Linked DNA regions of Saccharomyces cerevisiae S288C. The main gene of each other region encodes a partner of the protein of the gene in region 2 in a complex. Each region holds a gene or a part of one and is shown on either strand. Other genes may lie near its edges. A codon is read from its position in the direction of its gene.

Region 1 (3,221 bases), on a different chromosome or scaffold from region 2:
TAGCTCGCATTGATGTAGCCGAGTATATTTAAGGGATTCTTATGCAATGATGAAATATTTTTCACCTATAACGCCGACTACTGAAAACAGAGGGCCATCTTAACCGTTTTGCATTCAGTAACCCATACTCAGGATTTAATAAAAGAGGAAAGCAATGTCTCTACTAGGCGCCAGGTCCACTTACCGTTGGTTTTCAATCGCTGCATCAATTCCGACTAAGAATGCTATTGGCAAATCCACGTACCTCTTAGCTTCAAGAAATCAACAGTACCGAGGCATCATAACGTCAACTGTAGACTGGAAACCAATCAAGACAGGTAAGAGCCCAAATGATGATTCTCGAAGAGAAAGATCCTTTGGCAAGAAAATTGTTCTGGGTCTGATGTTCGCGATGCCAATAATATCCTTCTATTTGGGAACTTGGCAAGTAAGGAGATTGAAGTGGAAAACCAAGCTGATTGCGGCATGCGAAACTAAACTTACTTATGAACCAATACCACTTCCTAAGTCATTTACACCTGACATGTGCGAGGATTGGGAATACCGTAAAGTTATACTTACCGGACACTTCCTTCACAATGAAGAGATGTTTGTTGGTCCAAGAAAGAAAAATGGAGAAAAGGGTTATTTTCTGTTTACACCGTTCATTAGAGATGACACCGGTGAGAAAGTTCTGATAGAAAGAGGGTGGATAAGTGAAGAAAAAGTTGCTCCTGACTCAAGAAATTTACACCATTTGTCGTTGCCTCAAGAAGAACACTTGAAAGTGGTTTGCTTAGTAAGACCTCCAAAGAAAAGAGGCTCGCTACAATGGGCGAAAAAGGATCCAAATTCTAGATTGTGGCAGGTGCCAGACATATATGACATGGCAAGATCATCAGGGTGCACGCCCATTCAATTTCAAGCCTTGTATGACATGAAGGACCATCCAATAATCGAGGAACACACAAGAAACGAGGCTTCACAAAACAATTCCACCTCTAGCCTGTGGAAGTTCTGGAAACGAGAACCTACGACTGCTGTAAACGGAACGCAAGCTGTTGATAATAATACATCGAAGCCTCGTTCTAGGCAGGAAATGCCGACAGACCAAACAATTGAATTCGATGAACGACAGTTTATCAAAGCAGGTGTTCCCATAGGCCGGAAGCCCACTATTGATTTAAAGAATAACCATCTACAATATTTGGTAACGTGGTATGGCCTTTCGTTTTTGAGCACAATCTTCCTCATTGTGGCTCTTAGGAAGGCGAAAAGAGGGGGCGTTGTGTCCCAAGACCAACTAATGAAAGAGAAACTGAAGCATTCAAGGAAATATATGTAAACGGCAAACTCCTCTGCCCATACTATCGAACTCTATCCAAGAAGCGCGTAATTTCACGAGCACTGCCTAAACGGTTTTCCACATTAGTTTTGCAACTACAATGATTCGGATATGGCACATTTACATAATTTAAACTTGTACATAACTAACACCTTTTTATCCATATACCTTATGTGCCGCTCAAGATATGAACATTGCGCGTTGCCCGGACAATATCGATAAATAATAGCCAAAACAAACATGTTTTATCGACGCATGAATCCTTTGGCGTTAAACTTGTCCAATTGCACTGAAACTTGGAGCGTATAAGCTCAGCAATTGCACCAAAACAATATCAGAAAAGGCTTGTATTGCCACTTTCACCTATGAGCGAAGATAAAGCTAAATTAGGGACCACAAGGTCTGCCACGGAATATCGTTTATCCATTGGTAGCGCTCCGACTTCAAGAAGGTCGTCTATGGGTGAATCCTCATCCCTGATGAAATTTGCTGATCAAGAGGGATTAACGAGTTCCGTTGGCGAATATAACGAGAATACCATACAACAGCTTCTGTTGCCTAAAATAAGAGAACTGAGCGATTCAATCATTACTTTAGATTCCAATTTCACGCGCTTAAATTTTATCCACGAGAGTTTAGCTGATCTTAATGAATCCCTAGGTTCGTTGTTGTACGGTATTATGAGCAATTCATGGTGCGTAGAATTCTCACAGGCGCCTCATGATATTCAAGACGATTTGATCGCTATTAAACAATTGAAATCGTTGGAAGATGAGAAAAATAACTTAGTAATGGAACTCTCCAATATGGAACGCGGGATTAAAAGAAAAAAAGACGAACAAGGTGAAAATGATTTGGCCAAGGCATCTCAGAACAAACAGTTTAACCAGCCGCTATTTCCCTCCTCACAAGTAAGAAAATACAGGTCATATGACAACAGAGACAAGAGGAAGCCCTCCAAGATAGGCAACAACTTACAAGTAGAGAATGAGGAGGACTATGAAGACGATACTAGTAGTGAAGCTTCTTTTGTTCTAAATCCAACAAATATCGGTATGTCCAAATCATCTCAAGGTCACGTGACTAAAACCACGCGTTTGAATAATAATACCAACAGTAAACTGAGAAGAAAGTCCATCTTACATACAATCAGAAATAGCATTGCTTCCGGCGCTGATTTACCCATCGAAAACGACAATGTTGTTAATTTGGGAGATCTGCATCCAAATAATCGAATATCACTCGGAAGTGGTGCTGCAAGAGTGGTCAATGGGCCCGTTACGAAGAACAGAAATTCAATGTTCTCAGGACGTGCTGAAAGGAAACCCACAGAAAGCAGACATTCTGTTGCAAAGAAAACTGAAAAAAAAATAAATACAAGGCCCCCCTTCAGATGACTACGCCCAACCCAACCAAAGAATTATCCTCCTCACAAAATATATCGCTAGCATGCGTGAGTTATGGATAAGAAGAATATTTGATGAGCTGACTGATTCTTTATAGCAATAGGGAGGAAGGCAGTACACATATCAGCAGTGCATGGGCACAACCCGCATTACAACGAAACATGATATATCTATATAAAAGAAGATACGGACAGGCGGTCGAGGCTATTACTGTGCCACTATGCGAGTCATGAATGATTTTTAAATTAGTTAGTACCCCTTTATATAACGTCTTCAATAAAAGTGCGGGAAAATTCGGGTAATATTTTCTATAACTGTCATTTTTTTTTCGTTATGTATGGCAAACCAAATTGACAAGAAACTGGACAACGGTTAAAGCAAAAGGAGGAAGAAAGATATTGATTTGTGCTTTGAAGAATAACCCAAGCGAACAGGTCATTAATTGCCTAGAATCTTTACATAGAATTTGCCTTTTATGGAAGAGACGGGAG
Region 2 (3,734 bases):
TCAGATGATCTTTCTTCTTCCATTTGCTTCCGTAAGCTCTGTTCACGATCAGCTTCCAAATTGTATTCCTCGATAAAATTTATTCTATCCTTTATCAGTGTTACATCATTCTCAAGATTGGTAGACTTACTATCAATGTGCTTAACCCTTTCCAGGATTTTTAATTTCCTGGATTCTAGTTCGTTGATCATGGAATCTAATCTGGTCAACTCATCCATCTCTAACGTTTTATTGATTGACAGATTTTCCACGTTAGTTTCTACATCCTCAAGTAAATGTGTTAGGTCAATTCTAGAGTACGTTTTATTCACAAAACCAGTATTAATATCCGGCAATTGAACGTATTTTTCCTTATCACTATTCGTGGCCCCGTCTACATTGTCTAACAACAGTCTCTGTTGAATGATGGAAACGGTAGCTTTGAATCCTTCAAATAAAGAAGGTAAATTCTTTTCAGCGGCACCGTTGGGTAGCGGGTATCGCTGCTCATCTAAATGAGCAAGTATTCTGAAAGTTGTTGCAGAGTCTGCATAATTGTTTTGAAAGGAAAATATCCCTACTTGTCCTTTCTGGGTATCTTTTGTACTTTCGGGCCAAGCCACCTCTCTGAACAGTAGAAGTTTGGAAAGATATCTGTAGATGGGGCTCGTTATATATTTTTGAAATTGTTGTTGCGCTAGTATGGCATGTGGTAGCTTATTAAGTATAATTTCGATTGGTTTAGCTACCAGAGAGCTTTCTCCTCTAGTATCGCCCGAACCCATATAGAGATACTCTTTTTTACTCTCGCTCGTGGTAATCTTATATGTCATTCATGGTTAGTTTTTTTTTTATGACTATTTTTTTTTTCCATTACGATGAGGAAAGTTTATGTGAGAAACATGAAGCTACATGCTTTAACAGGAGACAGACCCATGGTGGATCCGCTCAGTTGGTTTTATACATTTAGATGTAAGGTAATACATAATTATATGATTTGCAGTGGCCTATGTATGCAATTAGGACAAAGGAAATATCTATTCTTGAGGAGAAGTGCTCCCCTACTCTTGCAAGTTGGCTATCTCCATTTCTAGCCGCCTAATTTCATCTTTTTCTTTTCGAATAATCTTAGCAACGTCGTGAGAAGAAGAAGGATGGTACTGTGACATAGTCTTTAAGCGATCATCTTGAAGCAAAACTTCTTTCTTGATGAAGCGCAATTTGGAAGAAAGTTGTTCATAATTATGGTACAATTGGTCGTAATCCTGCTTGAACTCTGTTAGTGGCCATAAATCTGTTACTTCGGCCATAACTTTAAGAATTAAATCAGTAGGGAAATCCTCGACAAAGATGGTTTTTCTTCTTTGGTTATTGGATTCTTCTTCCATGAGCACGCTTCCATTTTCCAAGGCATATAGGAGCCTTTGAATTTGCGGATCATCCTTGAACACGGCTGATAATGCTTTGAATGTACCTGAACTTGAATTTGAAATGACAGAGGATCCTATAAGATCGGTATCAAAAATAAAACCGTTCAAGCCACCGCCACTTGTAGTGGCGGTTCTTCTCCTTTTATTGTTCAAATCAAGACGATCTTTGTTCAAATATACTTCCTTGGGCACATGGATGATCGGTTTTTCCCCTGGTCTGCCCAGCCTTCTATTTCTTTTCATGTCCGTATCTCGTTTAATAACATAGTCGAATACTCCCTCCTTGCCGTCTCTACGTGAAACGGATTGTTTCTCAGGGTTGACTTTGAACAGAAGATACGCCTCGTCGTGGTTACAGTCCTTTATTAGTCTAGTAATGTCTTTTCTAATGCTTGCCTTGTTGCTTGCTCCCTGTAGGATGGCATTATGAAAAATTCCTGGTGGCTTGAAATAGAGTGTGGACATAGAGTCCACCGCCCTATTAATATCATCTATACATCTATCCAAGCTTTCCCCCATTCTGTAATTGCCACGTCTTATTTTGTTAGGTGATGATCTAATTTTTTTGAGCTTTGTTTATTGATTATTTTCAAATGTCTCTTGCTTATTTTCGCGCTTCCACAAGGTTATACACTGAGCTGTAAATGTAAGGTGTATGGCATATATAAATATATATATATATTCGTAGTGTGAACATTAGGCTAACTGTAACAAAAATCGTTAATCACGCCAGGCTGCGTATACTTCATCGGTTCTGAATTTCTGCGTAACAACAGTTTCAGAAAAGTCCTTCACGATCCCACCCATTCTATACTCTAGTAGTCCTGCTTGGGCAATCATAACTCCGTTATCGATACAAAACCTATTATCTGTAGCATGTACTTGCCCATTGGCCCTGTCTTTACACATTTGCGCCATCATTTCTTGTAATCGCACGTTACAACCAACACCGCCTACGATCAAAACTTGATTGGAGTTAACGTGAGCCATAGCTCTTTCTGTTATTTCAACTAGCATGGCGAATAGGTTCTCTTGCAGAGAGTAGCAAAGATCCTCTACAGTGACTTTTTGCTCGCCCGTTGTCTTGTCGAATAGGATCTTATTTTTCTTATTGCCCTTAAATAGATCCTTGGCAAGTAAATCGATGGAAGCCAATATACCACTCATCGAAAGATCCATCCCCTTTACTGTATAGGGAAGTTCTACCAAGTTTTCTTTGTGAGGGGCTTTTTTAGCTAACTGCTCGATGTTGTAGCCAGGCGAGGGCTCATTAGGTATCTTCAGAGTTCTTGCAAATCTATCAAGACAATTACCGATAGCAATATCAAGCGTTTCACCAAAGATACGGTACCTTTTTTCCGAGTATGCAATAACTTGTGTATTTCCACCACTTACATACAGTACCACAGGATTTTGAGCTTTAGTGATTTCTCTCCCCATTTCGATGTGACCAATGCAGTGGTTTACTCCCACCAGTGGCACGTCCCACAGTAAGGAGCACGTTCTGGCGGCGATGACAACTGAATGCAGAGGGGCCCCCATGCCGGGACCTTTGGTAAAGCAAATTACATCAATGTCTAGTGTCGGGCTTTTGATGTCAGCTTCGGCCAGTGCTTGTTTTATGAGTCTTATGCACCAATTTCTGTGATGCCTTGCCGTGTCTCGAGGCAAAAATCCCTCCCCAGGAGGTGTGACATATGTGTCTCTAATATTAGAAAGCATCTCAGCTTCGCAATCATAAGATAGATCGCTGTTGGCATGTTTAGGCAGAAGCGGATGCTTAACTATACCAACGCCCAGTTTATTTGCAGAACCTTCAAGTCCAAGCGCAATGTAGTAGTCCCTGCCATTTTTGGGTGGGATAGTGTTCAAGTTGACCATTTTGCTCCCGACTGCATTAGGGAACGCTTGGGAATTCCCTTCACGTAAAAGATAAATATATGCATCGTTGCACGAAGTAAAAATGGTTACTCTCGAACTCATCATAATGAAAGAATTCAGTTTTTCCGTATAAAGCGATATTACAGGAGGAATAAAAAGCAAAATAAAAAATCTCCGCGACGGGGAATTGAACCCCGATCTGGCACGCGACAAGCGCCCATTCTGACCATTAAACTATCACGGAACGTTATTTGTTGGATTTTTTCTCTTAGTTTTAAATATTTATATTTCGTCGAATTGGTACCTCTACAGCTCAGAAGCAGATGTCTTCAAGTTTTTTTATTGTGTCTAAATAAGAATCAACCATTATCTTGACAAATGGGTGAATTTTAAGATAATTGTTGGGATGCCATTGATGATAAAGACTATAATATACATACACAG
Region 3 (2,935 bases), on a different chromosome or scaffold from region 2:
CTTTGCATAGAACTACGAAATCTAATTAAGGTGACTAAAAAACCTTGGTGCGAGATTGATAGTAAAACTGGCAGGTCATTTTGCGACCAAATAAGAAATCAAGTGACAAATGAAAGAAACAAAACTTTATCTAAGATCCTCTCAGAAAACGGTGTACAAGTCCAGGATTCCACATTACTTAACCACATAATTTCTTCTTTTCAAAGTGAAGCTATAACACTTCCAGAAGCTCAGGAATTATTAAGAAGGGGCGTTACTTTCGATAATAGGGTAGTCATGGAATGTGAAAAGTTAATAGTATCTACAAGTGATCCAACTTTGATCAGTATAAGCGCCAAATTGAACAGTCTCAAAGCTTCGATGGCGAACCATCAAGCAAATTTGGTAGCTAGCAAACAGTTAAGTACATATAAGTAATCTACTAGCGATAACATTAACAATAATTTATAATACAAACTGGATAAAGAGATAAATGGATGCTTTAAAAAATAAACTTCTAACTATTTCTGTTTGAGTATTTCCAACTTATTCTCCAGTTGCTTCTTCTTTTCCTTTAGTTTCTTCAATTCTTCCAATTCCTCATTAGTAGAAGATGCCATCATAACCACGTCGTCCGCGTCTCTGCCTTCGTATTCTTGACCCATGTCTGGACTATTCAGAGCATCATCGTCATCCATACTAATGTTCTTCTTTAGCCTTAAATCGTTTAATTCATAAGTTTGCTGCAAAGTATCGAGTTCCCTTTGCATTCTACCCATAGATTTACGTAACTTATCGCCCAGAGTCCTAACCAGCGGTTCTACCTCTTCAATCAAATCTAATTTTGATCTTTCAACATCATATTCGGGAACTAAACGGAAAACCCTTTTGGTTTGCAACATTGTCGATGCAAGGTTCGTGCTTGGCTCATTTGCACATTTTAAAGACTCCACAGAATCCTTCAATACTGAAACTGTTCCCTCCAACGCAAGGACGCTCTGTTCCAAAGCATCTGTCATGGTTATTTTGCCTATCCTTCAATTCGTACACAGATATATGCGTCTGTGATCTGTTTATTATTCATTTTCATTGTTGCTAACTACTACGCCCTGTGAAAACAAACTTTATAATCGCCAATAATAAATACATAATGAAAGTAAATCGCAATCCGGACCCCACGGATAGTCACCAGTCTCACCAACTGGAAATTAGAAGGAAGGAAGACAACTGTAAATTCTTGGCATGGTAGAACTGGAAAAAAGAAGACGGCCCCCTCCGCAACTGCAACATTCTCCCTATGTTAGGGATCAATCGAATTCGCAGGGAATGACAAAGACGCCAGAAACGTCACCGCCTAAGAGGCCCATGGGAAGAGCTAGATCAAACTCGAGAAGCAGTGGATCCCGTTCAAATGTCGATATAGATCAGTATACCATACCACCAGGCTTAGATTTGTTGCCTACCGCTTCATCTCCACCTTCCGTCCATCAAGTTTCACAACAGCAACAATTATCCCCAATATTAGCCAACAAAATCCGTTCTCCATTTGAAAATCAAAGTCAGGATCAAAATGACAATTCAATAGACCCAACACCGGCTGGACAAGTAACAATTCCTGTAGAAGCCGTATCTCCACCGGCACTGGACGAATTATCGAAATTCCAAAATGGTTCAACTGAGACATTATTTAGAACTGGATCACCCCGTAAGAAGCATACACATATTATTATACTCAAATCCTTAAATGCAACTTTTGAGACCAAGTTTCTTGTTGTACCATTTAAACCTGACGGACTTAAATTAGGTCGACCAGTTACCAATAGCGTAAACAAGAATAATTCAGGATCGAAAAGAGATTTATTTTCGCAACAAGTTAGACCAGATAACGGAAATTTTGACTCAAGAGTTCTTTCCAGAAATCACGCTTGTCTCAGTTGTGATCCTACATCAGGAAAGATATATATTCGCGATCTAAAGTCCAGCAATGGGACATTTGTTAATGGGGTTAAAATACGCCAAAATGATGTAGAATTAAAAGTTGGTGATACTGTGGATTTGGGAACTGATATTGACTCAAAGTTTGAACATAGAAAAATCAGTGCGTATGTGGAAGAGATTTCAGTAATTCCCTTAATGAACACTGTATCTGATCCCACAAATTTGGTGATGAAAAAACAAGATCATACTAATAAGAATAATGGGAACTCCACTAATATAAACGGAATAAAGATAGACAGAGGTCATCATAATCAACACATTCCAATACGATCTCATTTAAAGGAAAATTATACCGAAGCTGGTGTAACATCTGCAACAACGGCTCAAAGGGCAGCCTTTGAGGCAGCTATGTTTGGAGATATTAATAACTCAGAATTAGATGATGATATTTTAGGTCCAGAAACTGAGGTTCTCAGTGGAATTTTTATCAACAATTCAGCAGGTACAAGCATAAATTTGATAAATATGATAAAAACTTTGACTACTGAGCTGTCCTTAGAAAAACAAGAGCTGGAAAAATTACATTCCATGCAAAACTTTATGCAAAACTATACGATAAACCTTGATTTCATCAATAAGCACATGATTGATATGAATGAAAAGCATTTACTGAAACTGAGCACGGCTTTACAAAAAACTCTATCAGAAAATAATGATGCGCTACTCAAAGAATCGGAAGATCAATTAAAAGAAATCAAACAACAAAATAATAAAGTAAAATCTGCATGTAGCTTGAAGGAAAAACAAAACCATGAAAAGCTACAGGAGCTCGAAAGTGAATTAAGAGAGCTGAACCTTCAAATAGAAGAAGAGAGGGGAAAAAATTTAGTTTTAACACAAAGCAATTTTAATGGTGGTATTAACAATGACAATAACGCTAAAGTAAAACAAAATGATTCAAGAGAAGAAAAAAAGGATACCGAAGATACATTAATAAGCACTGAAGAACTAGGAGTCG

The links. The genes of interacting proteins can lie anywhere in the genome.
Region 1: the proteins of SPC34 (region 2) and DAM1 are in contact, whole or in part, in a cryo-EM structure (PDB 8Q84), measured with the Saccharomyces cerevisiae proteins. Residues at the interface, in NP_012963.3 of Saccharomyces cerevisiae: Gly2 (codon at 1,925), Ser4 (codon at 1,919), Leu5 (codon at 1,916), Cys8 (codon at 1,907), Ile9 (codon at 1,904), Asp11 (codon at 1,898), Ile12 (codon at 1,895), Ala15 (codon at 1,886), Ser18 (codon at 1,877), Met19 (codon at 1,874), Leu22 (codon at 1,865), Tyr23 (codon at 1,862), Phe24 (codon at 1,859), Lys25 (codon at 1,856), Pro27 (codon at 1,850), Gly28 (codon at 1,847), Ile29 (codon at 1,844), Phe30 (codon at 1,841), His31 (codon at 1,838), Ile34 (codon at 1,829), Arg45 (codon at 1,796), Ile48 (codon at 1,787), Leu51 (codon at 1,778), Ile52 (codon at 1,775); in NP_011628.4 of Saccharomyces cerevisiae: Gln60 (codon at 1,867), Leu64 (codon at 1,879), Ile67 (codon at 1,888), Arg68 (codon at 1,891), Leu70 (codon at 1,897), Ser71 (codon at 1,900), Ile74 (codon at 1,909), Ile75 (codon at 1,912), Leu77 (codon at 1,918), Asp78 (codon at 1,921), Phe81 (codon at 1,930), Thr82 (codon at 1,933), Leu84 (codon at 1,939), Asn85 (codon at 1,942), His88 (codon at 1,951), Glu89 (codon at 1,954), Ala92 (codon at 1,963), Asp93 (codon at 1,966), Glu96 (codon at 1,975), Gly99 (codon at 1,984), Ser100 (codon at 1,987), Leu102 (codon at 1,993), Tyr103 (codon at 1,996), Met106 (codon at 2,005), Trp110 (codon at 2,017).
Region 3: the proteins of SPC34 (region 2) and SPC19 are in contact, whole or in part, in a cryo-EM structure (PDB 8Q84), measured with the Saccharomyces cerevisiae proteins. Residues at the interface, in NP_012963.3 of Saccharomyces cerevisiae: Ile52 (codon at 1,775), Glu59 (codon at 1,754), Leu63 (codon at 1,742), Phe64 (codon at 1,739), Lys70 (codon at 1,721), Gln71 (codon at 1,718), Val73 (codon at 1,712), Arg75 (codon at 1,706), Gly81 (codon at 1,688), Val82 (codon at 1,685), Phe83 (codon at 1,682), Tyr115 (codon at 1,586), Lys118 (codon at 1,577), Asp119 (codon at 1,574), Ser158 (codon at 1,457), Thr160 (codon at 1,451), Phe161 (codon at 1,448), Leu181 (codon at 1,388), Phe201 (codon at 1,328), Glu203 (codon at 1,322), Thr207 (codon at 1,310), Ile210 (codon at 1,301), Met214 (codon at 1,289), Trp221 (codon at 1,268), Leu223 (codon at 1,262), Phe226 (codon at 1,253), Leu233 (codon at 1,232), Asn236 (codon at 1,223), Tyr237 (codon at 1,220), Leu240 (codon at 1,211); in NP_010487.3 of Saccharomyces cerevisiae: Arg45 (codon at 866), Arg48 (codon at 857), Leu49 (codon at 854), Val50 (codon at 851), Pro51 (codon at 848), Tyr53 (codon at 842), Asp54 (codon at 839), Val55 (codon at 836), Arg57 (codon at 830), Ser58 (codon at 827), Lys59 (codon at 824), Asp61 (codon at 818), Leu62 (codon at 815), Glu65 (codon at 806), Val66 (codon at 803), Leu69 (codon at 794), Val70 (codon at 791), Leu73 (codon at 782), Lys76 (codon at 773), Leu77 (codon at 770), Lys79 (codon at 764), Ser80 (codon at 761), Met81 (codon at 758), Arg83 (codon at 752), Met84 (codon at 749), Gln85 (codon at 746), Glu87 (codon at 740), Leu88 (codon at 737), Leu91 (codon at 728), Gln92 (codon at 725).

What each region holds. Positions count from the first base shown.
Region 1 is NC_001139.9:717,204-720,424, forward strand, and holds DAM1 (Dam1p), read left to right. Parts: upstream 1-1,689; coding exon 1,690-2,721; downstream 2,722-3,221. Other genes in the region: cytochrome oxidase assembly protein SHY1, read left to right, coding at 155-1,324; chromatin-remodeling histone chaperone SPT6, read left to right, coding at 3,206-3,221. UniProt on the Saccharomyces cerevisiae protein: Component of the DASH complex that connects microtubules with kinetochores and couples microtubule depolymerisation to chromosome movement; it is involved in retrieving kinetochores to the spindle poles before their re-orientation on the spindle in early mitosis and allows microtubule depolymerization to pull chromosomes apart and resist detachment during anaphase.
Region 2 is NC_001143.9:509,870-513,603, forward strand, and holds SPC34 (Spc34p), read right to left. Parts: upstream 1,929-3,734; coding exon 1,041-1,928; downstream 1-1,040. Other genes in the region: CAF4 (Caf4p), read right to left, coding at 1-764; KAE1 (tRNA N6-adenosine threonylcarbamoyltransferase), read right to left, coding at 2,130-3,290. UniProt on the Saccharomyces cerevisiae protein: Component of the DASH complex that connects microtubules with kinetochores and couples microtubule depolymerisation to chromosome movement; it is involved in retrieving kinetochores to the spindle poles before their re-orientation on the spindle in early mitosis and allows microtubule depolymerization to pull chromosomes apart and resist detachment during anaphase.
Region 3 is NC_001136.10:854,380-857,314, reverse strand, and holds SPC19 (Spc19p), read right to left. Parts: upstream 999-2,935; coding exon 501-998; downstream 1-500. Other genes in the region: RAV2 (Rav2p), read left to right, coding at 1-417; VPS64 (Vps64p), read left to right, coding at 1,222-2,935. UniProt on the Saccharomyces cerevisiae protein: Component of the DASH complex that connects microtubules with kinetochores and couples microtubule depolymerisation to chromosome movement; it is involved in retrieving kinetochores to the spindle poles before their re-orientation on the spindle in early mitosis and allows microtubule depolymerization to pull chromosomes apart and resist detachment during anaphase.